4 separate regions of the Mus musculus genome follow, and all the other regions are reported to be linked to region 4. The links are microRNA targets in miRTarBase. Many come from high-throughput screens and were not tested one by one. Region 4 holds a microRNA gene; each other region holds the end of a gene's coding sequence.

Evidence for each region. Region 4 holds the annotated microRNA mmu-miR-302b-3p (UAAGUGCUUCCAUGUUUUAGUAG, at 2,794-2,816, shown strand). A microRNA usually pairs through its seed, bases 2 to 8, with sites in the 3' UTR of a target mRNA and lowers its output. Matches are read on the target gene's strand: a 7mer-m8 pairs with bases 2 to 8, a 7mer-A1 pairs with bases 2 to 7 and ends in A, and an 8mer does both.
Region 1: miRTarBase lists Pwwp2a as a target of mmu-miR-302b-3p. The part of its 3' UTR that is shown has no 7-base or 8-base seed match.
Region 2: miRTarBase lists Elf1 as a target of mmu-miR-302b-3p. Seed matches in the 3' UTR shown: 7mer-m8 at 1,599-1,605.
Region 3: the mRNA of Samd8 is a reported target of mmu-miR-302b-3p. Seed matches in the 3' UTR shown: 7mer-m8 at 3,181-3,187.

What each region holds. Positions count from the first base shown.
Region 1 is chr11:43,705,457-43,712,618 of GRCm38, reverse strand. It overlaps Pwwp2a (PWWP domain containing 2A), which reads right to left. Exons shown (of 2, transcript NM_027557.1): 2 at 5,425-7,162. The coding sequence ends at 6,417. Among named protein-coding and RNA genes, the nearest start is that of Gm34963, 27 kb to the right of the region's middle.
Region 2 is chr14:79,579,931-79,587,092 of GRCm38, forward strand. Elf1 (E74-like factor 1) reads left to right here. Exons shown (of 9, transcript NM_007920.4): 9 at 255-2,561. The coding sequence ends at 840. Among named protein-coding and RNA genes, the nearest start is that of Sugt1, 4.1 kb to the right of the region's middle.
Region 3 is chr14:21,792,795-21,799,956 of GRCm38, reverse strand. Samd8 (sterile alpha motif domain containing 8) reads right to left here. Exons shown (of 6, transcript NM_026283.3): 6 at 1,231-7,020. The coding sequence ends at 6,716. Among named protein-coding and RNA genes, the nearest start is that of Gm23502, 16 kb to the left of the region's middle.
Region 4 is chr3:127,542,482-127,549,481 of GRCm38, forward strand. Mir302b (microRNA 302b) reads left to right here and starts at 2,747; the gene lies at 2,747-2,820. Larp7 (La ribonucleoprotein domain family, member 7) reads right to left here. Exons shown (of 13, transcript NM_138593.2): 2 at 4,881-5,065; 3 at 4,609-4,709; 4 at 4,440-4,523; 5 at 4,173-4,337; 6 at 3,995-4,088; 7 at 3,566-3,922; 8 at 3,345-3,489; 9 at 1,673-1,797; 10 at 551-675. The coding sequence starts at 5,064. Gm51018 (predicted gene, 51018) reads left to right here and starts at 2,608. Exons shown (of 2, transcript NR_146435.1): 1 at 2,608-2,665; 2 at 4,153-4,422. It overlaps Mir302c (microRNA 302c), which reads left to right and starts at 2,882; the gene lies at 2,882-2,949. It also overlaps Mir302a, Mir302d and Mir367.

The DNA of each region.
Region 1 (7,162 bases), not on the chromosome of region 4:
TTACTGTACACCCTGGGCTAGCCTCAGATCAGGATCCTCCACACCAGCTTCTAAAAAAAAAATCTTACATGCGGGTTTAAACGAGAGACACCAATGAATGCAAAATATCTTGAACAGTTTGAAAGGACACCCTTGCTAAAATTTACTCTGCATTATAATTTTGATCCCCTCCCTCTGTGTCCCTGGCCATCCTAGAATGCCATCTGTAGAGCAGGGTAACCATCTGGCTCTGCTTCCTGAGATCTGGGTTAAAATCATGAGCCCCCACTGCCCAGCATGAGCTTTTTCTTTTCTAAGAAAGCCTACCCATAAAAGCCACACTCCAGGCCTACAGGCGCAGATGACAGGAGATAGAGAGGCAGAGACAAGAGGATGTCAAGCTTGAAGCCAGCCTAGGCTACATGAGACCTAGTCTCAAACAGCTGCAAAACTCGAACATATTTATACATACATGCACACTTATACATACAAGCATAGCGGGTGGGAGGGTGGCACTAATACTTTAGCCATGAAGGACTTGGCGTTCCTTTCCTTGCAGACATGGATACCAGTATAGAAATTATGAGGGTTTCCCTCTTTTTTAAGAGAGGATCCATGTAGCCCAAGCTGGTCTCAAACCTATTTACCCAACACTGACCTTCCTGATTGATCTTCCTTTTTACAAAATTTTTACAAAACATTGTGAAGATTGTCTTTACACTATGCCTTTAGAGCTGGGCACAGTGGTGCAGGTCTACAATCCTCACGCTTCAGAGGTCAGAAGTCAGTGTCCAATCCCCTGGACAGGCTGTTGTGAGCTGCCTGATGCTGAAGTGGATGCTGGGTACAGTACAGTTTGTACTTTCATCTGCTGACCCATCTGTCCAGCCTCCATTATTATCAAACTTATTAAAATGTCTCCTTTATTCACAAAAAAATTATCCAAGCAATTGCTACCATTGAAAGATTGTTGTACTCAATGTAGTTAAATTAATTCACCTAAAACTTTTACTAAGGGGCGGCTGGGCAGCTGTAGTCCTTAAGCATAAAACACTGTTAGTGCTGTTATCTAGAGTATGCTCCATACAGGACTGCAGGTACACAGCAAGGAATCCTGGAAGCAAACATTGTGGCCCCAATTCTCAGCAAATTTAAAACTCTATTAAAAACACTGATTATAAGTCACTTTTGTAATCCCAGCATTCGGGAGGCTAAAACAAGATTGTCCTGGGCTAGAAACCAGACTGGGTTAGAGTGACCTAGTTTCATAAAACCAATGGGGGAGCGGGAAGGAAAGCAAAGCAAAGCACCCATATTACAGATAGACAGTGGTATAGTACAGACTTAAAACAGACTTAACACCTTTAAAATGTACAACTGGGGGCTGAAGAGATGGCTCAGAGTTCCAAAAGCTTGCTGTTTTTTTTTTTAATATTTATTTATTTATTATATGTAAGTACACTGTAGCTGTCTTCAGACACTCCAGAAGAGGGCATCAGATTTCGTTACGGATGGTTGTGAGCCACCATGTGGTTGCTGGGATTTGAACTCGGGACCTTCAGAAGAGCAGTCGGCGCTCTTAACCACCGAGCCATTTCGCCAGCCCCAAAGCTTGCTGTTCTTATTTGTAGCACCTACATCAGGTGGCTCTCAATGACCTACAATGCCAGATTCAGGGAATCTAATCCCATCTTTTAGCCTCTGAAGGCATTTGTACATGTGGGCACGAGAGCACGCGCACACACACGCACACATACACATCACGTTTTTTTAATTGTACAATTAAAATTGATTTTAAGATAGTAGGCAAGGTCCAGCCTGGTCTACTTATCAAGGCTAGATAGTGTGACCCTGTCTATTTTTTAAAAAACATTTATTGACTGATTGATTCTGAGTACGCTGTAGCTGTCTTCAGACACACCAGAAGAGGGCATCAGATCCCATTACAGGTGGTTGTGAGCCACCTTGTGGTTGGTGGGAATTGAACTCAAGACCTCTGGAAGAGCAGTCAGTGCTCTTAATCACTGAGCCATTTCTCCAGCCCCTATCTATTTTGTTTTAAAGGCAAAGCTTTAAACTAGTTATGGTGGCACATGGCTATGATCCCAATACTGAGGGGCTGAGAGAGAAGGATTACTGCATGTCCAGCCAGCCTGACCCATACAACAAAATCCTCTAAAAAGCAAATACGCCCCCAAAATGGTTAAATTTTAGGCCATGTCTATTTAAGCATTCATAAAGTTACAATTCACTTTACTACGACAAAGATAATGTTGTTTGTTTTTAACTGAAGACACAGGGACAGTAAAGGAGTGACGCCCTTCTGAATATCACAGCGGGGTGTGCTACAACAGCCAGCACCACAGAGCCAAACTCAATGGTGTCCCTTTCGGAGGATAGATTAAACTTAGTATCAATTATCATGGCAAAAATAAAACCCAGATACTCTGCAAAAAGTCTAATAAAATCATTTACCACTGTGCAACCGTGGCTAAATGAAGGCCCGAGTACAGAAATGTCCACGCCCCGTGGAAGCGCAGTCAGCACCTTTCAAGTCAGAACCAGGGGAAAGTAGAAACAAAGATTGGCCGCTCACTCTCCTGGCACGGAATGGAACGGCTCCAACCCAGCTTTAGCTCTCAACTCCAGATTTTTCTATTAAAGTGTTAATAGCTATTAGCACAGCCCCAAAGCAAAAACTGAATTTGTCCCTCCTTAGAAAATGACCATCACTAACTGGCCAATTCCCTATTTGAAACCATCAGTGAACATAAACCTTTGAACTAAAACCTTCATTACAAGCTTTCTAGTATGTCAGTATGGCACTAGACTGTCAGTCCAAACTACAGAACATTCATAACTTAAATGGAGAAAAAAAAAGACCTAACTAAACATATACTATAAATTTCTGATTTTCTGATTCTCAATTCAGTCATTCAGTATAAAGGAAAACTGGCCACTTTCCAAATGTCTGAACATATGTTTCCTTCAATAACCAATAACTTTAGAAAGTAACAGCCTCTCTTAGTTGAATAAACTCCATACCCTAGATGGATCTAAGCTGATTTAAGTATCAATTCTATGTTGTCTGCCTACAATGTCTTCAGAAAAATTCCTGCTTAGTACTTGCTGCATGTAGTACTAAGCTACAATAATAGCAACCATTAACATTCTGTTTCCAGCCGTATGTGTTGGTGTAAGCCTGTAATACTAGCACAGAAGAGCTCAAGATCAGCCTGGGCTATAAGGGAAGATCCTGCTCCAAAAACTGAAAAAAGGCTGGGTGGTGGTGGCGCACGCCTTTAATCCCAGCACTCAGGAGGCAGAGGCAGGCGGATTTCTGAGTTCCAGGCCAGCCTGGTCTACAGAGTGAGTTCCAGGACAGCCAGGGCTACACAGAGAAACCCTGTCTCGAAAAACAAAAGCAACAACAACAACACAAAAAACAAAAACTGAAAACAAACAAACAAAAAAATATCAAAACCACTTAGGAGGAAACAGGGATAGATAAAAAATCTGTTAATAGAATGCCTGGCTAAAGTGAAAAAGGCCTGGATTCGGTCCTCATCATCATAGAAACTGGGTGTGTTGGAATCCCTGCATGAGAGGTGGAGAGATCAGAAGCTGAGGTGAACTGTAGGTAGGCTAGACTGCTATACTGGAAACAAAACACTTGGGGACACACCATTAAATCTGACTTTAGATAGTGAATCCTTTACAGGTCTTCTGTTCTGTGGGAATAAACTAGAATAGAAAACAGATTTCTTCTAAAAGACCAGTGCACTTGCTGATTTCTAAGCTCTACAAAATGAAGAAGGAAACATGAGGCTTTAAATTTCTAAAGATGCCATCCTGACAACTTATTTGTTTTCTGCACTTGCTCATCCTTGTCTTTTAGCTACTTTTCTTATATTGGAAATTTGTCTAAGTAAATTCTCTCAGAAAAGAGAAACCAAACCAAACAAGAAGAAAAAAGTCCATTTGGTTTATTATCGTACATACAGTACCTTTTATCTTCTCAGAGGAAACTCTGTTACAGTAGATAGCAAATGGTCACCTTGCTTGGAAAATTCTACTGGGATATCTTTAAAAATAGTATCTCACTATGTGGCCCTGGCTGGTCTAGATAGAATTCCATAGATCAGATCGGCCTCAATCTCAGAGAACATGCTAGGGCTAAAGGCATGTACCAGCACACAGAGCCAAATATTCCTTTGTTCATTTTCTGGACAAGAATTCATTATGTGCCCTGGTCAATCTCTAAGTCACTCAACCCTCTTGCATCCACCTCTCAAATGATAGGATCACTAGAACATGCCATCACTCCTGGCTGAATGTTATTTATATACTCCACAATCACAGATTGTATTTTCCCATGTAGCTTCTGAAATAGGACAAATGGTTTATGCCATAAAGATACATTGCCAAAGTGTCTGACTGTATTAGCAACACCCACTTTCAAAGTCACAACTACAACAGCCCAGATCACACACTTCACATTACTTTTTAGATGACTCTCGCATAAATCAGTTTTTCAAAAGGTAAACAAACAAGTACTCTAATCTAAAACAGTTACTCAGAAAACCTAGGATATTTCCCTCATAAGCCCTTCATCACACTGTGAGCTTTCAGACTGTCATAATCAGATTAGTTTCTGTTTGCAGGAAAGAATATGTATCTTTTTCTTTGTGTGTTTATTAAAATCAAAAAGCATTGACTAAGTTCCCCAGAAGAAATTCTATTTTCTTTCCCAGAAATAATCAGGTATCAAGCTTAAGGAAGTTCATTTCCAAATTTCATTATCTTTATTATTAATTATGTAGTAACTAACATATCTCACACTGGATTATTTTAGAAATCCATAAAAGTTTACCTTTTTGTATCTCAAGTAAGTACTAACTGAAACTATATCAAATTTAAGAAAACAAAAGGCTTGGAAGCAACTTAATTCTCGAGATCACCTTGCCTCTGCGGGCACTCAGGAGGCAGAAGCAGGCAAGGCTCTGAGCTTGAAATCAGCCTGGCCAGCCAAAGTGACATAGCGAGACTCTTAAAAAATAACATCTTAGGGACAGGTAGACCATGTAGAATATGGAGTTAGATTACTAAGCCCATAAAGCAGTGATATCTGAGGCAGGAGACCAGAGAGCAAACCAACTACAATTACCTAATTTTTTAAAGCATGACAATTTATCAAAGCTAAAACTGAGGGGAAAAAATGAAAAGCATTCATGAGCAGTTGATAGGAACTAGAGTTCTACCGGATGGTATTACTATAGAGCCTCACTGTACCTCCTGTTATTTGAATTTTATTTATTCTCCAATACATCCCTGACAGGGCAAACAAAAATGTTTAATTTCTCATGTTTTCTAACCACTATTGCAAAGAAAAATTTCTACTATTTTGAAACTGTTCAAAGCTTTTTGAGAAACACACACAAATAATTTGGATTTAGTTGATTTTATTTACAGCTTTTTTTTTTTTACATTTCAATGCATTATACAATCACATTTCTCATTTTCTGACCTGCAAACAGATTACCTTAAATGGAAAATGCTTCTGAAAAACTATCAAATTAGGTACATCCAAAATGCAACAATTACACATGACATTAATTCACAAAGTGTAAATTGCTAGGGTCTGTCCTAAGAATTTAGGAACAGCCAGTCAGGAGAAATCTGACTAACTTTTCACTCAATTATTTATATACCCCAAATAAAATCTATCTAAACTTCCCACCAAATATCTGACAGTTTGTTTTACAACCTCACTGGACAAGAGAGTACTGACCCAAACCTGTCTAGTCTTAATAGTTTTAATCCCAAATACTGGCAATGTGTACAGCCTGGTCTATAACTAAACAGCAAGCATACCAATTTGTCATAGCAAGCATCTCAGTGTGTCAAACATCCAATATCAAACTTTTATACCCTATGTGCATAGAAAGTCTAAGTTTTCACTAGATAAAACAAGTAATCATTGAATATCCACTGTTCCCCAAGTTCCAGCCCTTACTAAAATCTCAAATATGCAACCCATGTCACATGGTGACAGACAATAGTTTATACATGTGGATGTGTGTGTATGTATGTCTAGGTGTGCATACCTAGACATACATATACACACAAACAATAGCTACAAATGGCAATTAACAGTCCCTGCAAAAATTGTTTCATTTGAAGCTATGGCTTCTATGCCTTAGGGTGGTTTTAGATTTTAAAACTGGAAAATATTCCTAAAATCCTACTTAAGAGAAAATTTGAAACATCTTTCAGTTTTCAGCTTCTTAGTGTAAAAATGGCTATATATAACGTATAAAAAGCCAACTGAGTGCAATTTCTCACCAGTTTGGCCAAGCTAGCTGGTGGAAATGATTCCTGACTAGCCAGGGACCTGCAGCAGCTCCAGTGGTTCTCGCCTACCTTACTGTCCATGTTCACGTTTCAAATTGTGTCAACAAAGCCCGCACTTCAGGGGTCAGCTGCTTAGCAGCCTTAGCAGCCTCTGTGATAGCCCTGCGATACAGACCCTTTCTCTTCTTATTAAACCGTAACTGGAAGTTTTCTAGAAAGGGGGAGAGTTGTGAGAGAGCAAGGGAAGATGTGGTTGGAGATGCAAACCATGAGATACGGGCCTCCTGCCGGGCTAAAAGGCCGTTATCTTTCCGGCTTACAGTGATGGTAAGAATACGGGCTGGCCACCAAGGGAAGCCATATATCTTGGCCCAAACAATGTCCCCTACACATATGGTCCTGCCATCTGGTGTGATACATTTAGAGACATTTTTTGAAAAGATTTTCATTTTCAAAGAATTACGGAGGCTATTCTCTTCCTTTGAAGAGAAGGAAGTAGAAGTGGAAGAGGCAGAAGGTGCGTGCATACAGCCGGGAGGAAAAACGAAGCTCTCAGAAGAGCTACACTCAGAGTTGGAGGATTTCAAATCATCCATGCTATCAATGCTACACACTGAGGCACTGGAAGAGTCAGATGTCTCCTGATTTAGGGTCAGGTAAACAGAGATACTGCTTTTGCTGCCCTTTTTGCCCAACATCCGCAGTTCCTCCTGCTCACCAGGCACACGCACTCTGCTTGTGTCCTGAACCTCACCGGCGGACTCTTCCGGGCCTTCTGAGGGACTCGGTTTTTCTGAAGGGGCCTCACCTGCTGAGCGGGTGGAGGTGC
Region 2 (7,162 bases), not on the chromosome of region 4:
ACATGAGCTTTCTATGTAGCTTTGGCTGGCCCCGAACTGCCTCTGCCTCCTGAGTATGTCCATTATAGGTGTGTGCTGGTACCACACCAAGCCTGTATAATGTATAGAACGATGTTTGGCATGTTAATTATGCTGTGATAAAAATAAGAGAAGTAGCAACGGAATGCACTTTTAAGAGTGACTTGTAAAGTATTAAAGCTTTAAAGGATGTTCCATTTGCTAACTGTATCACTTCTGTTTGTTGATCTCAATAGGACTATACAGGCTTCAACCCAGGTTCCAGTAGTGGTGTCTCCTGGCAACCAACAGTTACATACAGTAACAGTGCCACTCACAACGGTTATAGCCAGCATAGACCCATCATCAGGTGCTGGGTCTCAGAAATTCATTTTACAAACCATTCCATCGTCACAGCCCATGACAGTACTGAAAGAAAATGTCATGCTACAGTCACAGAAGCCAGGCTCTCCTTCAATTGTCCTCAGCCCCACCCAAGTACAGCAGGTCCTCACAAGCAATGTTCAGTCCATTTGCAATGGAGCGGGCAGTGTGGCATCCGCACCATCGTTCAGCGCGACGACACCTGTGGTGACTTTCTCTCGGAGTTCACAGCTGGTCGCACACCCACCGGGCACTGTGATCACTTCTGTTATCAAAGCTCAGGAAACAAAAACTCTTAAGCAAGAGGTGGAGAAAAAGGCCGAAGATGATTTGAATGAAGATGCTGAGAAAAGTGCCCAGCAGCCCCAGCCTTATGTGATGGTGTTATCCAGTTCAAACGGGTTTTCCTCTCAGGTAGCCGTCAAACAGAATGAACTGCTAGAGCCCAACTCTTTTTAATACACCAAAGGAATTATGGGTGGGTATTTTTTTAATTGAACTCATTTTTCGGTTGTCTGACCATAACATGATTTTTTTCTAAGATGAAATCCACAGAAGTTCTTAACTGTTAAAAAGTTACTTTTGACTTTGCTAGATAAGGAGGCGAACCCAAGTGTGTGTCTCCTCTGAATGTCTCAGAACTCAGTTGTGAAGGAGCAGGAGGTTTAGACGATGAAGAAATTCTTGACTGTTTTTCAGTTGCTATATCATATTTTAAAAGTTTCTTTTCTAGCTTGACACTGTACTAGCTTCCTGAATTGTTTGAAAATACTACTTAAATATAAGACAACAGGAAATTTATATAGGAAACATTTTCATTCCACTTGTATAATTTAAGTCTTAGCTCTTTCAGATGCAAGAAACTTATACTATTAAAATTGTTGCGATGTCACTTAGCTTGACTTTAAAGTTGGCTGGACTGTTATACTATGAATATACTACGAATTTGTAAACTATCATTATAAATTGAAGTGTATATGCTCAGTATATTGGCATATATGTGTAATTCCAGCACTGGGAGGAGGACAAAGGGCAATCAGGAGTTCAAGGCCAGCCTTAGCTATATAGTGAGTTTGAAGCCAGCCTGGGCTACATGTAACCTTCCCAAAAAAATCCAAAACAACAACAAAAATATTTAAGTGTGCCTATGATAATGTCTGAACCTGAGTTTAAGAAATGTGATGTAGCCGGGCGTGGTGGCACACGCCTTTAATCCCAGCACTTGGGAGGCAGACGCAGGTGAATTTCTGAGTTTGAGGCCAGCCTGGTCTACAGAGTGAGTTCCAGGACAGCCAGGGCTATACAGAAACCCTGTCTCAAAACAAACAAACAAATAAAAAAAGAAATGTGATATTATAAAGGCAACACTTGTGACACTTCCACTAGCTAGGTGTGTAACCCTGGGTAGGCCACTCCATCTCCTAGGTGTGTAACCCTGGACAGGACATTTCACCTGCTAGTCTGTGCTATTCTGGTAAAATGAAGGGATGCATTGGACTAGACAAAATGATCTAAAAGTTTCCTTATTATAAATTTTAGGATTTTATTATCTGTACTTTAAAATTATTTCAAATATTACCAGATTATCTCCTTATGTAAAGGTAAAATACTGCTTAAAAATATTTTCCTCACAAAATTACTATCAGGTCTGCCATAAATTCTTCCTAAGTTCTCTGCTCATTAATCTTCAGACCACAGTTACTAAAACTGTGGCTTAGTAGTAAGCTGAGGGCTAAATGAGAGACTGCTATTCTAAGAGCATCAGGGCTCTGAGGGCCAAAGAAGCAATGGGAGTCCTGAGCTAGTATAGCTGTGTCACTTATTATAAAAGCATAACTGTTTTTTATTTGGATCATTTTTTACTGTGGGTGAAGGGGAGGGGAAGTTGCATACAAAGATATATATCCAAGTTTCCGAAGTAGAGTTTTTAGATTACTTTTTCAATGTAAATAATGTATATTTAATGTCACAAGAAATTGTTTTCTGCAAATTCTCTAGTATAGAAAGTTTTGTAGAAGAAAAATTATTGTGTTTAGGGGTATAATATTATATGTTTTCATATTATGAAATGAATTTGTATTTAAACAAAAATTTAAATTTTGGAATCCTCTAAACATTTTTGTATCTTTAATTGTTATTATTAAATCATGTAAAAGTTCTCAATATTTCTGTTTTCAAGCAAATATTTCTTGTTTGTAATTCTTTTGCTTTTTGACACAAGACACACTGTGCTGTCCTAGAACTAGTGATTATCGTGCCTCAGACTCTTGAGTAAAAGGCACATGCATCAACCATACCTGGCCATGTTCTTATACTGTGTGCACATGCATGTGCATGCCTGAGGGGACACACAACATGTTCTTATACTGTGTGCACATGCATGTGCATGCCTGAGGGGACACACAACAACATTTGGGAGCTGGCTCTTTTCTTCCACCATTGGTTTCGAGGGTCAACTTCAGACTTTAAGGCTTGCATAGTCTTGTTACTCTCTGGTAAATACTGCTCCAAGAACACACACATACTGAAATGAGTTTCTGTGTAAATGAGACTCTGTCTTAGAAAGCCAAAGAGAAAATAAACTTGTGGTATAGTAGCTGTGGCTCTAAGTCAGCTTTTAAATGTCTGAATATACATGCAGGAACACAGTAGAGAAGAGAGCATAGCACTGGCTGTGGGTCCTGTATCCTGTCTGAGGTGGGTCCTCTAGGCCCTGGGCTGCTGCTTTCAGCACTTCCTGGGTCCTAGGGATCCGGATTCAGGCCGTGGGGCTTACATAGTAAGTGGTTACTCTCACTGAGCCATATCCCCAGCTCTAAAACAGGCTTTCTTAGTAATTGCTAAACTTGGAAAAAGAAAAATTCAAGAAAACAAAAATCTCAGTACCATGGCATGTCCCTACTCTCTTATTGGTAAACTTAGTCATTTTTCACATATTCGTACCCATTTGTGAGTATGTGTGCATGTGCATTTGTGTTGATACAAAGTCTCTCTCACTGTGCACCTCTGGGTGGCTTTGAATTCAGAGAATCCACTTGCTTTTGCCTCCCACGTCTTGAGATTTAAGGCATGTGTCAGGACTGATACATAACCTTTAAGCATCATTGAATGTGTATGTGTGTATTGAGTTTCTATTGCTGTGAAGAGACAGCATGATCATGGTAACTCTTAAAAAAGAAAACATTTATTTTTTAAACACTGTCAGAGGATTAGTCTGTTATCCTCATGGTAGAAAGCATGGCAACAGACAGACAGATATGGTAGCTGAGAGTTCTATATCCAGATTGGAAGGCCGCAGGAAGGGACCCTGGCCCCGGCTTTGGCTCTTAAAATCTCAAAACCCATCCCCACAGACACATTTCCTCCAACTAGGCCTCACCTCCCAATCCTAATCTTTTTGTTTTTCAAATAGTGCCACTCCCTAGTGACCAAGCATTCAAATCTGAGACTATGGGGCCATTCTCATTCAAACCACCTGTTTGTCCCCGAGAGAGAGAGAGAGAGAGAGAGAGAGAGAGAGAGAGAGAGAGAGAGAGAGAGAGTGTGTGTGTGTGTGTGTGTGTGTGTGTGTGTATGTATGTATGTATGTATGTATGTATGTATGTATGTACTGGCTGGTTTTGTGTCAACTTGACACAAGCTAGAGTCATCACAGAGAAGGGAGCCTCAGTTGAGGAAATGCCTTTTTGAGATCCAGCGGTAGGGCATTTTCTCAACTCGTGATCAATGGGAGAGAGCCCAGCCTAATGTGGGTGGTACTATCCCTGGGCAGGTGGCCCTGGGTTCTATAAGGCAGGATGAACAAGCCATGGGAGCAAGCTAGTAAGCAGCATCTATCTGTGGCCTCTGCATCAGGTTCCTGGCCTGACTTTACCTTCATGAGAAACAGCAATGTGGAAGTAAAAGAAACCCTTTCCTCCTTAACTTGCTTTCTGACCATGGCGTTTTGTCACAGCAGTAGAAACCCTAAGGAGCCACATTTGTGAAGTGCCTCTTGAAGCCTGGAGGTGTTGGATACCCGAAGACTAACAGATGTGTATGAGCTGCCAGATGGGTGGGTGGGTGTGGGGATCGAACCTCTGATTCCCTGGGAGAACAGCCAGTGCTCTTAACCTCTGAGTCATCTCTCCAGCCTACTAATGAAATTTTGTAGGTATATAATATTAGAATACTATAAATAGCTTGCAGAAAAGTTTTCTCCCCCAAGGGGGGCTCTCAATGTATAGCTCTGTCTGACTTTGAATCATTATTTAACCCAAGCTGACCTTGCACTCTTGGCAATCCCTGTCTCAGACTCACAACTAGAGATTAAAAGTATGTGTCACCAAGCCCAGCTAAACTAAATTTTGTTAGTGTGTGAGAGGGGAGGGAGAGGGAGAGGGGTCCAAGAGCATCTTTGTGGAGTTGGTTCTCCCCTTCCACCTTTACCTAAGTACCTGGGAGCAAACTCGGTTCTCTAGGCTTGTGTAACAAATACAATTATCTGCTGAGCCAACTCACCAGACCCTAAACCAAATCTTTTAACTTGGGTCAGTAGAGCTTTACACTGAACAGGAAGATAGCAATTCATTTGTGCCACTATAATAAAACTACTTAAGACTGGATCATTTAGTAGGCACAGAAACTACAGTTTTAGACTCTAGAAAACTCAAAATGAATTTGCCGGTAAGCCTGGCAATTCCATTTCCAAAGATGCCTTGAATTTTGAATAAAGCAATGAAGTTGCCATCAAGTTTAAGGGGAAATGATTTTTTTTTTTCAGTAAGTGGGGTTGGGTTAGTTGGTATCTGTATGGAGAATAAAATAATGGACTTTTATCCCTTGTTATACTTTCAAAAAAGTTGTCAGAGTAAACAATAGACTTAAATGTGGAAAGTGAGCGATCTAAAAGAAATGTTTCAAGAGCCTTTGAGTAGAGAGAGTCTTACACATGGCACAAAAGAAATGATTATAAACTGAAGAAGAACGAAGACCAAAGTGTGGACACTTTGCCCCTTCTTAGAATTGGAAACAATCACCCATGGAAGGAGTTACAGGACAAAGTTTGGAGCTGAGACAAAAGGATGGACCATCTAGAGACTGCCATATCCAGGGATCCATCCCATAATTAGCCTCCAAACGCTGACACCATTGCATACACTAGCAAGCGTTTGCTGAAAGGACCCTGATATAGCTGTCTCTTGTGAGACTAGGCCGGGGCCTAGCAAACACATAAGTGGATGCTCACAGTCAGCTATTGGATGGATCACAGGGCCCCCAATGGAGGAGCTAGAGAAAGTATCCAAGGAGCTAAAGAGATCTGCAACCCTGTAGGTGCAACAACATTATGAACTAACCAGTACCCCAGAGCTCTTGACTCTAGCTCCATATGTATCAAAAGATGGTCTAGTTGGCCATCACTGGAAAGAGAGGCCCATTGGACACGCAAACTTTATATGCCCCAGTACAGGGGAACGCCAGGGCCAAAAAGTGGGAATGGGTGTGTAGGGGAGTGGGGGGGAGGGTATGGGGGACTTTTGGGATAGCATTGGAAATGTAACTGAGGAAAATACGTAATAAAAATATTTTTAAAAAAGAAATGATTATAAATTGATCTGTGTGAAAACTTGTTTCAGACGATATTAAGAGATGCCAACTGGCACAAGGTGTCTGCAATAAATGCATCCAAGAAGGAAGTCACACCCAGCCATGCAAAGAACTGCAAACGGAACAAAACTAACATTTCCTTTAAAGACATTATGCAGAAGACACTCCTCATCGTTATGCATCTGTTCTTTTACAGTCTAGTTTCTGCAGGGTTCACAGAAACGGAAAACAACCTTGAATGGAAAGATCCAAAACGATGCTCTCTACCTTCCCTTACAGATCTGCTTAGCTTCAGTTTAGTTGAGCTAATTTGATCTTCTCAGTACTTACTAAAACCTGAAACCTGCACCTCTTTGAGTTTAGTGGCCAGCTGGCCCTGGTCTGCCTCAAGTGTCTCTCCCACCTACTTCTCCTTTCCCACAAGTGGATTCAGATTCCTTTCTGGGACCTGTTATCTTCTATCAGCCCTTCCCCGCCCCGGCTCGACCCCCCCCCCCCTTCAAACAACCCATTTACAATACAGATGGGATATACCTACAGGTGGCAAATGTGTTACACTTTAAACTTTGTAGTATTCCACACTTCCATCTCTTGATGACCCCATACATACTTAAATCTTTGTAACCTCCGTTTCTCCATCTTGAATATGGGCTCAAGTTTCTCTGTATTTTCAAACGTCCTCCCACCGTTATTTTTTGCATCTGCAAGGGGTGATTGATTGGTAGGTTGAGGTTGTAACAAAAAATTATAATACCCACGATAGCTAGCAAGCACAACTAGGCGTTTGGCCAGTATGGAAAACGTGCTAGAAAAGTGGGGAAGACAAAACTTAGGTCTTTTAAAGTTAGAACTCAGAAAAGTGGGCGAGTTTAACAGTGGGGATATGTACACAAATGCCTGAACTGTAATTTCTTTTTCTTCGTGGACTGTCATGTTTCCAGACTGAGGTCTTATATATATCTTGTTTGAGGAAGCCAACGACCACTTCAATCATTTCACCTACTAAAACAGACTTGGTAAAACGAGTTACTGAGCGTTATCAAGAGCTTTTAAATCAAGTTTGGTGAACCTATAACTGCCACTCCCTCCTGTTGCCCCTTACCACTCAGTTTCAAAGAATTCGCAGGAAACTTCCTAGTGTGATGTTTGGCTCTAAGGACGGCGGGGGACGGGGGGCTTACTGGTTACTTAGAAC
Region 3 (7,162 bases), not on the chromosome of region 4:
TCTAGGCCTTTTCTGGAATGTTCTTTCACTAAGTGTCCAAAAGACAAGGCCAGTACTGTGGAGGTAGAGATCAAGTGGACAAGTTCAGCCATAGGTTAAGAGTATTCAGTTATATGCTTAGCATCTCGATTAAGCCATAGTTAGAAGCTGCCATGGCCTGAACAACTCTTTATCTTCTTTTCCTTGTTCATTATTTTCCAAAGCCTATCTAACAGCCTGGCCATCTTCTCATGCAATCTACAATTAAACCAACATCAAACAAACACATACTTTAGGGACTGGGGATTTAGCTTATAGCAGAGCCCTGATATGTTCAGTAAGGTTTTGATTTGAGAAAGGGTCTTAGGGGGTGTGGTGGTGCAGCCTTTGATCCCAGCACTGGGAGTCAGAGGCAGATGGATCTCTGTAGTTCTAGTGTAGGTCAACTAAGAAGACTACGCAGCGAGACCCTTTTGAGATGGGGTGTGGGGAAAAGAAAGGGTCTCATGTATCCCAGGCTGGCCTTGACACAGATACCTAGCTCAGGATGACCCTGGTCCTCCTCTTAGCACCATCTCTGAAGTACTGGGATAAGTGTACATCTTGTATTTAAGATCTGGGGTCTCATAAAGCTCTGGATGACCTCCAACTTGCTATGCAGCAAAAGCAGGCCTTGAATTCTAATCTTCTTACCTCCATTTTCAACTGTCTGTCTGTTTCTTTTTTGTGCTGATGATCAAACCAAGGCCTCACACATGCTAGACACGTGCTCTCTGCCAGCCTTTCCTCTGCTCAGCTTCCTATCGTGAAACAGACAATTACCTGAGAGTTAGTAAATGCCACACATTACACCCTACAGCTTTAAAGCTGCTGTGCAGCAGTAAATGCATAGTAAGTGTTTGTAGGTAAATACACAATAGGTAAATGCACAGGGCTACCACCAATCCTGACAACTCCAGTTCAACCCCTGAGACACAACAGTGACCAGAGTTGTCTACTGACCTCCATGTGTGTACTGTGAAATGCAATTTAAATTCTTTTCTTCCTTCCCTCCCATTTTCCTTCCTAAAGCTGCAGTGTTTAACCATTTGGGGAAAAAACCCTGCCATTCTAACACGGAGGCTGGTGCAGGAGGACAGCAAGTCAAAGGCAGGAGGCACACAGGCTTGAGAGCAGACCACACACAGCAAGACTCTGTCTGAGACATAAAGGCGCACTATGTTAATAGTGCAAGGGTTATAACAAGCCACATACCAACTTTCAAATGCTTTATTTTTTAGTGTTTAAAACATTTTAATACAACAAAGTTATAAAATAATATATATTAGTTAAATCTGAATTTAATTTAGAATCAGGTATTTACTTATTACAACACTGTGCTTCAAGGTCTGGCTACCACAGGGATTTTCATGTCTTCAAGTAACACTAGTTTCTCTGTGGGCAGGGAGACCTTTAGGTAGAATTCTCAAAACTGAACATGCCTGGCTTAGTCCAAGCAACCTGCTTCCCCACTGAGTACCAATTTCATTTCCTTTGTTCCACATCACAAATACTTCATTATCCCAACAATCCATGAATTCAATGAAAAATTATTAAAATTAAACATTTTAAAGATGTTAATAACAATAGGCTCGGTTTGGTTCTTCAGACAATCCACTAGTTCAGATTAAAAGAGATGTGAAGTAACAATGGAAAAAAGAAAACAAACAATAGAATATTCCTTCTCCCATCAAAGCACAAAGCTTCCTTATGCCAAGATGGGAAATTCACAGAATAAAGAGTCCTTTGATTAACACAGTGTAGAATGTATCCTCAAAAACAACTTAGTGTAGCTGGAGAAATAGCTTAGAGTTCACAGACCTTTGTACTGAACTTGATACAGTAATTCATCATATTAGTTATGTAAAATCAGTGCCACTGAATCTACAGGCAAACCAACACCTACTTTTACAGTAATTTTAGTCATTTAAAGCTATTCATAAGGAGAACAAACAAACAAAACCCTTTCTCTTTCCATCCAGTAGCCTGAAGCATCTCTGATGGTACTTTAATCCTCAGCTGCAGAGGTAATAGGGGTGACTGGGACTAATCTCACTTTTTAATAAACACAAACTGTTATGTAAAGTTGCCATTAAACCTGATATGCTTGTGAGTTTCAGGACAGTCAGGGCTATACAGAGAAACCCTGTCTCAAAAAAACAAACAAAAACAAAACAAAAAAAAACCCTGACATGCTTGCTAGGCAGTAAGTGGTGATGCTTGCCTTTAATCCCAGCAACTTGGGAGGCAGAGGCAGAGGCAAAGACAGAGGCAGAAAAATGTCTGAGTTCCAGGACAGCGAAGGCCACAAGGAGACTCCTGCACTTGCCATGGCTGACGAGAAACCCAAGGAAGGAGTCAAGACTGAGAACAATGATCATATTAATTTGAAGGTGGCGGGACAGGATGGTTCTGTGGTGCAGTGTAAGGTTAAGAGGCATATACCACTTAGTAAACTAATGAAAGCCTATTGTGAACGGCAGGGTTTGTCAATGAGGCAGATCAGATTCCGGTTCGATGGGCAACCAATCAGTGGAGAATAAAGATCGATGTATGTGTTCCAGCAGCAGACTGGAGGTGTCTACTTAAAAAGGGAGCCTGCTACTTTACTCCAGAATTTGTTATAGACCAAGAATACATTCTCAATTAAAAAGCCACAGTTTGGTCCCGCCACATCCTGACTACACAGTATAGTTTTCTCTTCTTTCATTTCCCTGTCCCCATTTCTTTATTGTACAAAAAGTAACTGGTGTATGTGCACACGCATAGTGCTCTCTCTTTCTTTTCCTTTTTTTAAACGAAATGGCCAATGTTCTGTTCTGGTTGGCATCAGATGGAGATGGTCTGGGGGAAAGTACTGGGTCTGTGAAAATACCCCTTCTCCATTGGTGGCATGCTCATTCAGCTCTCATCTTTATATTTCAGTAAGTTATTTTGCTCTCATTGTTTTAACAAAAGAACACAACACCACCAAATCCTTGCATGCCTTGTTCAATTGGAGAATTTTAATGATTTTCATTTATCATTGCAAAACCAAGGACAATTTTTTTTTTTTTTTGGTTTTTTGAGACAGGGTTTCTCTGTGTAGCCTTGGCTGTCCTGGAACTCACTCTGTAGACCAGGCTGGCCTTGAACTCAGAAATCCGCCTGCCTCTGCCTACCAAGTGCTGGGATTAAAGGCGTGCTCCACCATGCCCAGCTTCAAGGACAATTTTTATATTTTTTTTGAAGCTGTTACATGTCTTTAGGGAATAAATTACTCTTGAACAAAATGATCTTAGATAGTTTTCCCTTCAAGTCAAGCATCTTATTTACATAAGCTTGTTTAAAATGAAAACAAAAACAAAACCCACAACCAACAATAACAAAAAACCCAAACCAAACCAAACCAAAAAAAAAAAAAAAAAAAAGAAAACAAAAAAACAACAACAAAAACCCCTGACATGCTTTCTGCTTTCACGCTGTCTGAAGGAAAGCAAGTGGACTATTCTAAAGACCGTTCTTGTCTCCTAAGTCTGTCAGCTGAGAGGGCGACTATACTGTCTGCTTTTGCTATGGGATTTCTATCCACAAGACCATCAAATAATTGAGTGTACTAAATCAGAGAGTTTAAGTCAAGAATATTGTAAACATTGTTAAGCATTTTGGATCTAGAATCTTTCAATGATAAAATTTCTTTTTGCTGAATATAAAGAAGATACATTTTTGCCACAAATCTGAATTTATACGAATTAAGTTTTACAAAAAGATGTGTGTGGTGGTGTACACCTTTAATCCCAGCATGGGAGGCAAAGACAGGTGATCCCTGAATTAGAGAAACCCTGTCTCTGAAAAAACAAAACAAAATAAAACAAAAACAAAAACAAAGAACCCCCCCCCCCCAACAAACAACCAAACACTTTTGCACAAATGTTCCTGAAAGACTACTTGCTCTCTGCTATAGAAGGATCCAGCACCCCTGTTCCCCACTTATAACTTACAGAGTTTTGGAATTCTCAGTCCTAACAGGCAGGTAGAATGGGGCTGGTCACCACTTACAGTGTCAATGTTACGCTATTGGAAGTGTGGGTTTTCTTGGTTACAGCTCACGTTATTTAAATTGACTGGTTCTAAGATGAAGCCCATTGCTTTAGAAAGGTTATTTTTGCCACAGCAACTCTGGCCTCGTTGGGAAGTGTAACACAAAGGTTTCTGCCAAAACTATGTGGTGGTGAGAGCAAGCTTATGTTCCATAGGAGCTCGTTCCTTTCCACCCAGCATGTCTACCTTTCAGTAGATCCTGTTTGCACTGTAAAAGCCGAGAGCACTTGCCTCGCACACACAGCCCTGGGCTTAACACCACAGGGAGGGCAGCGACACTGGGATTAGAATGTAGGCAATTCTTCCTTTGCACCCCCAAGAACTCAAAACCTTTCCTTGCTTCTGTACTAAGCTGTCAAGGAGAAAAGTCTCACACGACTGCAGAATCAAATACGGGGTTCAAAAGCGTGGAGACTGCACGCAGCCACATCATGCCCAAAATGTAAACATAAATTCTATCTTCATTATGGTTAGGTTTTAGTAAGGAAAAAGATGTGAGGACAAAACCTGAAAACTAATGTTGTCTCAGTTTTGAGACTTGAAGAGGATTAGCTCTGTAAACACTGTCTTATAGTAGCTACTAGGCTATACATCTAGCTTATCTTTTTCCTCCAAACAAACAGGAGTGACCCAAGGCCACTCAATCCGTACAGCAGGCTGCTGTCAGGCACTCTCACCATCAATAGCTTGGCAAGGGCAACGCCAGCTGCACCTGTTTCCTATTGTGTTCTATGATAGAACCCATATGGAGGAGAGAAGCCTGATGTTAAGATATTTACCATTAATATAGTTAGCATCTTAAAACTAATGTAGACACGCATTTTTGGAACATTTTCCCAAAAGCCAACACTGTCTCTCCCCCTCCCCCCAGGTAAATTGGATCCTGCTCTGTGGGGGGCAGGGGAGTAATAAGAGGGGGTGGCAGTAATATATCCCTTGGCCCTAAGTCAAGCTACTCAAACAAGCATAGCAAACCTTTTCTCCAGGATTAGGACGTTTCTTTAGATAAGATATTGGCGTTTTTGATCCTGGCTTGTAATAGAATCAATAATTTAAAATACTGCAAGGATTTTGAAGTACAAGATTTAAAAACATAATTGAACTTGATTTTGATTGCTTTACCTCATCTCTCAGGTGAGAAATGAGCGCTGTCTCCAGCCTCCTCAGAGCAGGGGTTCTCAGCACGGGGGAGGCCCGTTTGTCTATTAGACAAACCCCCTTCCTGCCTAATCCACTCAGTGGCTTCCAAGAGGTGGGACTATGACTCCAACTGCAAAAATGACCATTCAGCCGCCGAGACAGAGGAATAAACGCCGGCTGTGGCCTGCGTGAGACTGCAGTGCGCCTGCCTGCAGCTCTTGAGTCCTTGTTTGAAAATGGAACGTAAAGACTATACAATTAGTATTCCAATTCTACAACCAGGTTAAAACTGTTATGTACAACCAATAGAAAATAAAGTGACAAATGGTATCGGAGAGGTGACAGTAATTACTGAAGGTAAACAGCAGCTAAAGTATTTAGTTCTTAACTGCCAAATTAAGACTCTAGAAAGAACATATGTATATAATTTTTTTAAAATAAAAAGTAAGAAGCCTTTTTCTATCCACCCATGTCTCAGACTGTGTACTTTCCATGGTCGGGAATGAGAACTTTCAGGGAAAAACAACAACAAAAAGAGGACCCCACCCCCACCCCCACCCCGAGAATTAGCACTGCGCCTACAGCTTGTTCTGTTCTGTTTTGTTTTTTTCCAGAAGAAAAGAATTCTCTGCATGCACATTTACTCACTCACTGATGTAAGAACTCTAACATCTGGTAAAACACTCATGTGTTCACTTAAGTCACATTATTAAAAAGCAGTATATTGGGCTGTCATCTGCCTAACTAACAGTTACAACAAGTATTTAGTCCGGGGACTTACAGCACTACAGGAACACAGCCACCTCCCCTCAGGAGCCCTTTCTGTTGTTCACACTGAAGCTTCCGAACAGAAAGGGACAGCAACTGACGCTGCACCTGCTCTGAAATGCTGACCCCTGCATTAGTGGGAGGCCGGCGACACCTGATCAGCGAGCGTGTCACCTCACACGGTGCCCCCCGCATTCTTTTGTTTCTGCTGTGTTCAATGTGTTTTTCTTTCAAATGGCTCAAAAGGTAAAACATATTTACCAGTAAGACACTCACTTTGCAGACAGACACAGATTAGTTCAATGAACACATGAGAACGGCTCACTAGGTAAGGAAAGCCAGCTTCAGAAATATTCTTGACTTGAGTCCTACTGGGAATCAGTAACAATTCTTCAACCAGCCCAAGCTGATGTGCTTGAGTTCCGTAAGCAAACACTCAGCATGCACAGGTATCGGCCTGACATCACCCCACGCTGGGTCTTCCTACAGTGAGGGGCGGAAACTCTTTCCATGACCTCTCCATTCAAACAGCTAATAAGGAGTCTTGTGTGTTCTTTCTTGAGTTTTACAGTCACGGCCTTTCTCAGAACGGGAAACCTGTCAACACAGAAGCCAAATGCAACGTATCCAGGAGCCTGGGACAAAGTATTCATTTTCATTCCATAACTACTGTATATTTAACAACAAACTCATTACAGAGAGAGAGTCTTCATCCAATTAGTCTTTTCATTATTGCTGGTTTAGAAAATGGCCAACAATATTCATTAGGTACTGTGCCATTAACATTGCATTCAAAGAAAGAAAACATAGGGAACCAAATCCTCGCTCTCCTACTCTGATGATACGCTCTGGTGTTAGCCAGAGTATGGTAGTACAAAAAGAGTCTTGTTGTGATATAAAAGGCAATAAACACATCAATGGAATAATGTTCATGGGCAGCCAAGATGAAGAAGATTCCAAAGAGGTTGAGAACCCAGGATAGAGTGTGCAAGAAATTCCAGCTTCTTGGTGTATCTAGGAAAAGGACAGAAGGACCATTTATTTAATAACACATTCCTGCCAAGCTTCTTAGCCACGTTTCTCAGGGTAGGCTCTAAGCTTCTGCTCCCCTAACCTCTGCCCCACACCCTTTATTTCAGCTCTGTCTCATGTGGCC
Region 4 (7,000 bases):
GCTGGGAATTGAACTCAGGACCTCTGGAAGAGCAGTCGGCGCTCTTAACCACTGAGCCATCTCTCCAGCCCCCTTTACCATATTTTCAGATGTAAGCTAATAGGATTTAGGATTGACAATTATAGCTTGGTCTACAGTGAGTTCAAGGACAAGCAGGGCTACCCAGAGAAAGCCTATTTTGAAAAAAACCTGCCAACTAACAAAATATGGAATCAAATACCTTTATCAACAGAAAAACTCTTTCAAAGCATAACATTGAATACATATTACTTCAACAACTCCAAGTTAGAATCACCATATCATTCTCCACTGAACTACACAGCCACTAACCATTAGTGAAACAAGAAAGAAAGGTGTACAGGCTATTCGATGTACTTAGGCCTTATTTCCTGAGGAATAAGGTATTTAGGTATTTAGAGTAAACTTAAGAGTTATCAGTGTTACCATGGACTCTACAAGTAGTTTATCAGAAAGGTACAAATTCTGACTGGAGTTGCTTTGTTTTCCATACTATTTTGAAAACATTTCACATGGGGTTCATAAATATTACCTTGACTTGTTTCCTGCCCGGTAGAGGCTCTCCGCTCACAATCTTCACAATCACTCCAGTCACAAACTGTGGGCCTTGTGCACTGACCTTCTCCTGGGTGGAACACTCTTGACCACTGCCTGCTGCTGTGAAGAGGAAGGAGCCAGAGGTAACCTTCCCACTCCTGACATTTCACATGAGGAGCACTATTCTACAACAGCAGCAGCAGCAGCAGCAGCGACTTCTCAGGCTAGTTTAAGGATCTCAGAATTGTAAATAATATTAAGGAATCACACTGCCCATTGGAATCAACATGGCACAAAAGGCATTATACCTCTAAACCAAAGAATAAAGCCTTAATAAAGATGTATGCCTATATGAACATAAGACTATTCAAAGTATTCTATTCTTTTTTTTTTTTTTTTTTGGTTTTTCGGGACAGGGTTTCTCTGTATAGCCCTGGCTGTCCTGGAACTCACTTTGTAGACCAGGCTGGCCTTGAACTCAGAAATCCGCCTGCCTCTGTCTCCCCAGTGCTGGGATCAAAGGCATGAGCCACCACTGCCTGGCTTCAACAATTTCATTTTTTAAAAAATTTGTTTATTTATTTTATTTATGAGGACGCTGCAGCTGTCTTCAGACACTCCAGGATAGGGTATCAGATCCCACCATGTGGTTGCTAGGACTTGAACTCAGGACCTCTGGAAGAGCAGTCAGTGTGCTTAACCACTGAGCCATTTCTCCAGCCACAAAGTATACTGTTCAAATATGAGAATTTGTATAATTTGCAAGAACTTAAAACCTTTACTAATATTACAATGAACGAGAGTAGTGCTCTAATATGCTCCTGCTTGCTGAACATCATCCACTAAGCCTGCAGTCTTTATTTCTCTCTCCAGGCACTCACAAGTGAGCTCGCAGGTAAGTAGAGAAGAATAAACAGACTATTAAAACCTAGTGTGTAATACAAAACTTCACATTTTTACTTTTCTTAAAACATTTTGTTTTTGGAAATGGTTCAGCTTAAAACTGAGGAAGCCACTCTATCACTGCAATAAAACTGCCCCTGAAACCATTCATAGACTAAAGCCCACTCTTCCATTACATGAGCGTCACCCTCTCCGTTCCCCACTGCACACTTACTAGGCGCTTTACAGTCTGTTTCCATTTCTGATTCCAATTTGATTTGAGATATTGTTTTTTTTAGAGAAGCCATGCTAGCTTTTTGCAGTGCCAAATACTCTTTCTTCAAATCCATCCATTCAGTCCTGAAAAACAAAAATTGAGCCATTACAGTGATAAGACGACCCAACTAGAAATCTGAAGTTGATCTAAACACAATGTTCATAGGAACTGCAAGTCTTTCTGACTTTTCTTTCTTTTAAGGCATATGTTTACATTATTTGTTAAGCCATTTGTTAAAGCTACCTAGCAAACACACAAAGGAAGTTTCTTTGTCTTAACAGGCAAGGAAAATGCTTGAGTTTCCTGGTTGCTTCTAATATTTAATTGTAAAATCACTTTTGAGTCACTTCTATTAAGTAAAATCACTAAATCAGGCAACCTGGAGAAAAAGTAAGAGACTAAAACTTAAAGATTTCTCAAATTGCTTCCAATTTGAGAGCTAACATTCCTTAGGATTTACTTGAATCAAAAGGAATTTCTAAGAAGAAAAAAACACCCCATGGAAGCAATTTATTTATTTACATACATTTAACATGTAGATGTATCTTCAAACAGCTAGGGCTCCTCCAGAGAAGCACAATGCATCTCCTGGCTCTGTGGGAGCGCTCATTGTTACCCTAATCTGTGCCATCAAACGGGCAGATAGGAGATTTTTTTTAAAGAGGAGGATATCTTGTGGTAATGGTTTTAGCAGTTAACATTGACATCTGTTTACTTCAAAAAAGGAAAAAAAAAAAAAAAATCCAGACCTACCCAGGTCCCCAGGACCTACTTTCCCCAGAGCTGATACATTAAAATAACAAAGGGTCTTGTAATGATTCTCAGAGATAGAAAGCCAAAAGGAACTCAGGAGTTAGGAGTAGTATAAATACAAGTGGTCTAAAGTCGGCGTCTTTCACCCTCCGAGGACAGAACAGGACTCTTTGGGAGGCGGTCACGAAGGTAAAGGAGGTAAAGCTTATGTCTGTAACCGGGTCACTTTACTTTCCTGTGGGTTTGCTCTTCTGTTTTAACTAGTTGCCTTGTGGGTGGGTTCCCTTCAACTTTAACATGGGAATGCTTTCTGTCTCATCGAAGAGTAAGTGCTTCCATGTTTTAGTAGAAGTGAATTCAAGAAACTCTGGAATAAGAAAGCTAGCCTTTTAATTCAGAGTCTGATGGGAGTCCCCTCTGCTTTAACATGGGGTTACCTGCTGTGTTAAACAAAAGCAAGTGCTTCCATGTTTCAGTGGGGGTGTCTTAAACTGTTCAACATTTTCTCTAAGATGCTGTAGGTTAAGGGAGTTATTGACTGGGCTTCCCACCACTTAAACGTGGTTGTACTTGCTTTAGACCTAAGAAAGTAAGTGCTTCCATGTTTTGGTGATGGTATGTTTTCCTTTATATTCATGCCTTTGTAAAGACCACTCAAGTCTGCTTAAGGGGCCTCCTTTACTTTAACATGGAGGCACTTGCTGTGCATTTAAAAATAAGTGCTTCCATGTTTGAGTGTGGTGGCTCCTACTTAATCTTCATTGTGCTGCATATAGATAGACCAAGGCCGTCACTGTTGCTAACATGCAACTCTGTTGAATAGAAATTGGAATTGCACTTTAGCAATGGTGATGGACCTGTGTCAGTGGCCACTTACTTGGACAGCACTCTCAATGGTATAACCTCCTCGCCCATCTTATGTCTCTCCTTGTGTTTCTTCTTATGCTTCCTCTTCACCTTTGAGAGTGAGTCACCTTTTCTGTCTGTCTCCTTCTCCTCCTCAGTAGAGCAGAATTCTAAGTCTAGAAAAAAGATTTCCGTAAGTCCGTTGTTGTGGTTAAACTGGTTAAAACATTTGTAACCCTACTGCCACGGTACCTCTGCTCTCCTTGGAGACCTCGGAAGCTGCTTGGCCGACGCCATCCTTCTGAGCCCTTTTCTTAGCTTTTGGCCTTGGGGGGAGGCAGTCTTCGTCCTCGGCGCTGCACCTCTCCCTCTTCCCTGCCCTGGCTTCAGGTAAGCTGGATGCTTCCACCTTGTCCCGCTTCTTCTTTTTCTTTGCAGGTTGCTTTGGAGCTTCCGGGGTTTCTGCTTCGGAGCCCTCAGAGGCCGTCCTTGGTCTCTTCGTGGCTTTACACACGCCCGAGCTGCTGCTGTCCACGGCCGACTCTTTGGCCTGCACACTCTCTTCCTTCTTTATTCTGCCTTTTTTCTTTTTCTTCTTTTTCTTCTCTTCTGTAACAAGATTTTATTATTTACAGTCATAATAGTTTATTGTTTACTTGGCCACTCTAAGTAAGCACTCACCTGCTACTCGTAAGGAAGGGATGGGCTTGTTTTTCACTGTCTTGGGAAATATACCAGGCTTTCTAGGTGCTTCTTCTGGTGGGTTGTTCAGAAACTGAAAAGATTGATTGCAGAATTTGTTACTCTTGTTAACCCTGTGCTTTTTCTTTACTTTTCAGGGTCCCACAGAAGTACGTACCTCAATGGCTTTTGCTGCTTGCTCTTTTGTTTCAAATTCCACAAAGGCAAATCCCTTAGGATCCCCAGTAGACTTGTAATGTGGAATACTTATGTAAACCACATTGCCACATTTCCCAAATACTCTCTCAATCCAGCTATGAGTAACATTTTTGGGGAGCAACTCCTGTAATAAATCATGGTATGAACATTTTAAAGTTCCTACATTTTTACCAATAAATGAATTATAAATAAATGAACTAGAATTAAAATTTGTGTCATTTCTTACCACATATACCGTGCGTTCCTCCTCGTCCTTTGGTCTCTCACCTAGGGGTTTTTTCCTCCTGATTCTGGTCCCTTCTAAGTCCAACTTTATGAGGGGGGAAAAAAAAAGGAAAGCTAAATAAAGTCAGTAGTTAATTGGATGTGGGTGACTTGAAATGTAAGTTTTTTACCTCTACAACAGATGAGCTTTTCAATGCTCTGGCTATTAGCTTCCCATCAGTTGTCAGCTTCTTCATTTTGTTAAAAGACACCAGGAGAGAAATGTCCACATCTAGTAAATAGGATAGTGGGATGTTAAACACTGGAATATATACATGTGTGCAAACAAGCACGAGTTCAACATGCAGTTGTGTGTCATGAACATATACAGTACTGAGCTCTCAGGAGGCTCTGGCCCCATATAAATGTGAGTTGGAAATTCCAACAAAGACAAAAAACTTACATCCATCTCTAGACTTTTCAATTTGCTCTCGCAGAAACTTGTCCTTGTGAAGGTTTGCATCTCCAAACCAGAAGTCCACCTGCTTAGCAATATCTGCAAGCACCTGTTTAACCCGGGAGCGCTTCTTTTTTTCTTCTTTTCTCTTAGTGCTTTCTTCCATAGTTTTTTGGTTTTCAGTTTCCATTCTGAGAGGGGAAAAAACAAAAATGCCAAACTGTAAAGTGCCTAAATGCCCCTGTCACCTGAACCTTCCTGCTGCAGGAATTCCTGCTGCAGGACGCCATCTCACTGACATCAGTAAGGATGTTTTTAAAGCTGGTCTGTCAGGCAAGTGCAAATTCTGTAGTAAATTCAAGTAGTAAAACCTCTACCTCAAAAGATGGCCTAGTCAGCCACCACTGGAAAGAGAGGCCCTTTGGACTTGTAAACTTTATATGCCCCAGTACAGGGGAACGCCAAGGCCAAAAAGGGGGAGTGGGTGGGTAGGGGATTGGGGGGGTGGGTATGGGGGACTTTTGGGATAGCATTGGAAATGTAAACGAGGAAAATACCTAATTAAAAAAAAGAGGAAAAAAAAACCCTCTACCTGATAATTACTAATTAAGTACATTGTAGCCCTATGGGGGGGGGGGGAGGGCTGGAGAGATGAACTGCTCCTGAGTTCAATTCCCAGCAACCACATGGTGCCTCACAACCATCTATAATCTGTAAGGGGATCTGCCGCCCTCTTCTGGCGTGTCTGAAGACAGCTACAGTGTACTTGTCTTTAAAAAATAGGTGAATACTGGATCTCATCTCAGGTTTTCAACTCACCGTATCCTTCCAGGCTTTCATTCCTACCATTTAAGCGGAACCCCAATGAGCTCAGTGTTTGCCTAATGCCAACAGTTACCTGACCTCTTCATCTGGCTTTAAGTTTGCCTTTTCTGGATCCTTCCAGAAAAGGGACACTTCCAACTGTGACTAAACTCCTATCTTGGCCTCCTGTCTCATCTATCCTCTCTGAGGGTCCTGGCTATTCAATTCTGGGCTCTCTATCTCATACATACACACTCTCATTAGCTCCATATTCCAACAGTCAATTACACACTTGACATCTCCATTTGTTCATTTAGAGGATATCGCAAACTTTATCTGACAAAAACAGAATTCCAGCCCCTCTCCCTCATCCCTTCTCCTGTCTTTATCTCTTATTCCCTGCTCTTTATCCCTCTGGAATAAATAAATCTCTTTTGTGTTTGAAAAAAAAAAACAGAATTCTATAAATTTAAGATTTTTTTTCCTCTTTGCAAAATACCAACTACAAAACTGTAAAACCAGAAAGCAGTCTCACTCCCTTCCTCATACTCTACAGTCAATTCAATTCACCAGCAGTCAGACTAGCACGGGCTTTAAAATACATCCTCAATTAATCCTTTTATTTCTAATAAGCTACTTGGTCCAAGTTATTATCACATCTCACTTGAACTATTCCAAGATCTTCCCTAGAGGTCAGCTGGCTTCTACTCTGTTTTATTATAGTCAATTTCCTGCTGTTTCTTTCCCTAATACTCACACACACTCTCATGTCAAGTGTGTAATTGACTGTATGGTTGGCTTGGTTATTTACCCAGATCTGTGAATGCCACTGTTTAAGAGAGCTTTGTCTTTCATCCAACCTACAAGAGTCCCATGGATCCCAATCTGAACTATCCCCTAGACTTTTCTTTCAATGCTCACCACTATCTGGAATTAGAGTTTTGTTATCTACCTACCCCACTATAATACAAATATAGAGGCAAAGGCTTTAATCACTACGTATTTGTGAAGTAGTTACATATATTTAAAAGTCCCTGTAGCTAGGCATGGTGGTACCTAAGCCCCAGCACCCACGAGGCACTGGCAGGTGGGCCTCTGTGAATGTCTCGCCCTATATAATGAAAATAAGGTATTAAGCATCTCAAGTTCTTTTCTAAGGTGGTGGAGTATAAACAAATATAAATACAGACTTCAGTGATCAGAGCAGGCTCCACTGCTAACTGTTAATCATAATGGGCGGGCTTACAGCTTTCTAGTTCTTTTTCCTGTCAAAGCCCACCATCTAAGGCAGAGGTTCTCAACCTGTAGGTGAGACACTTTTG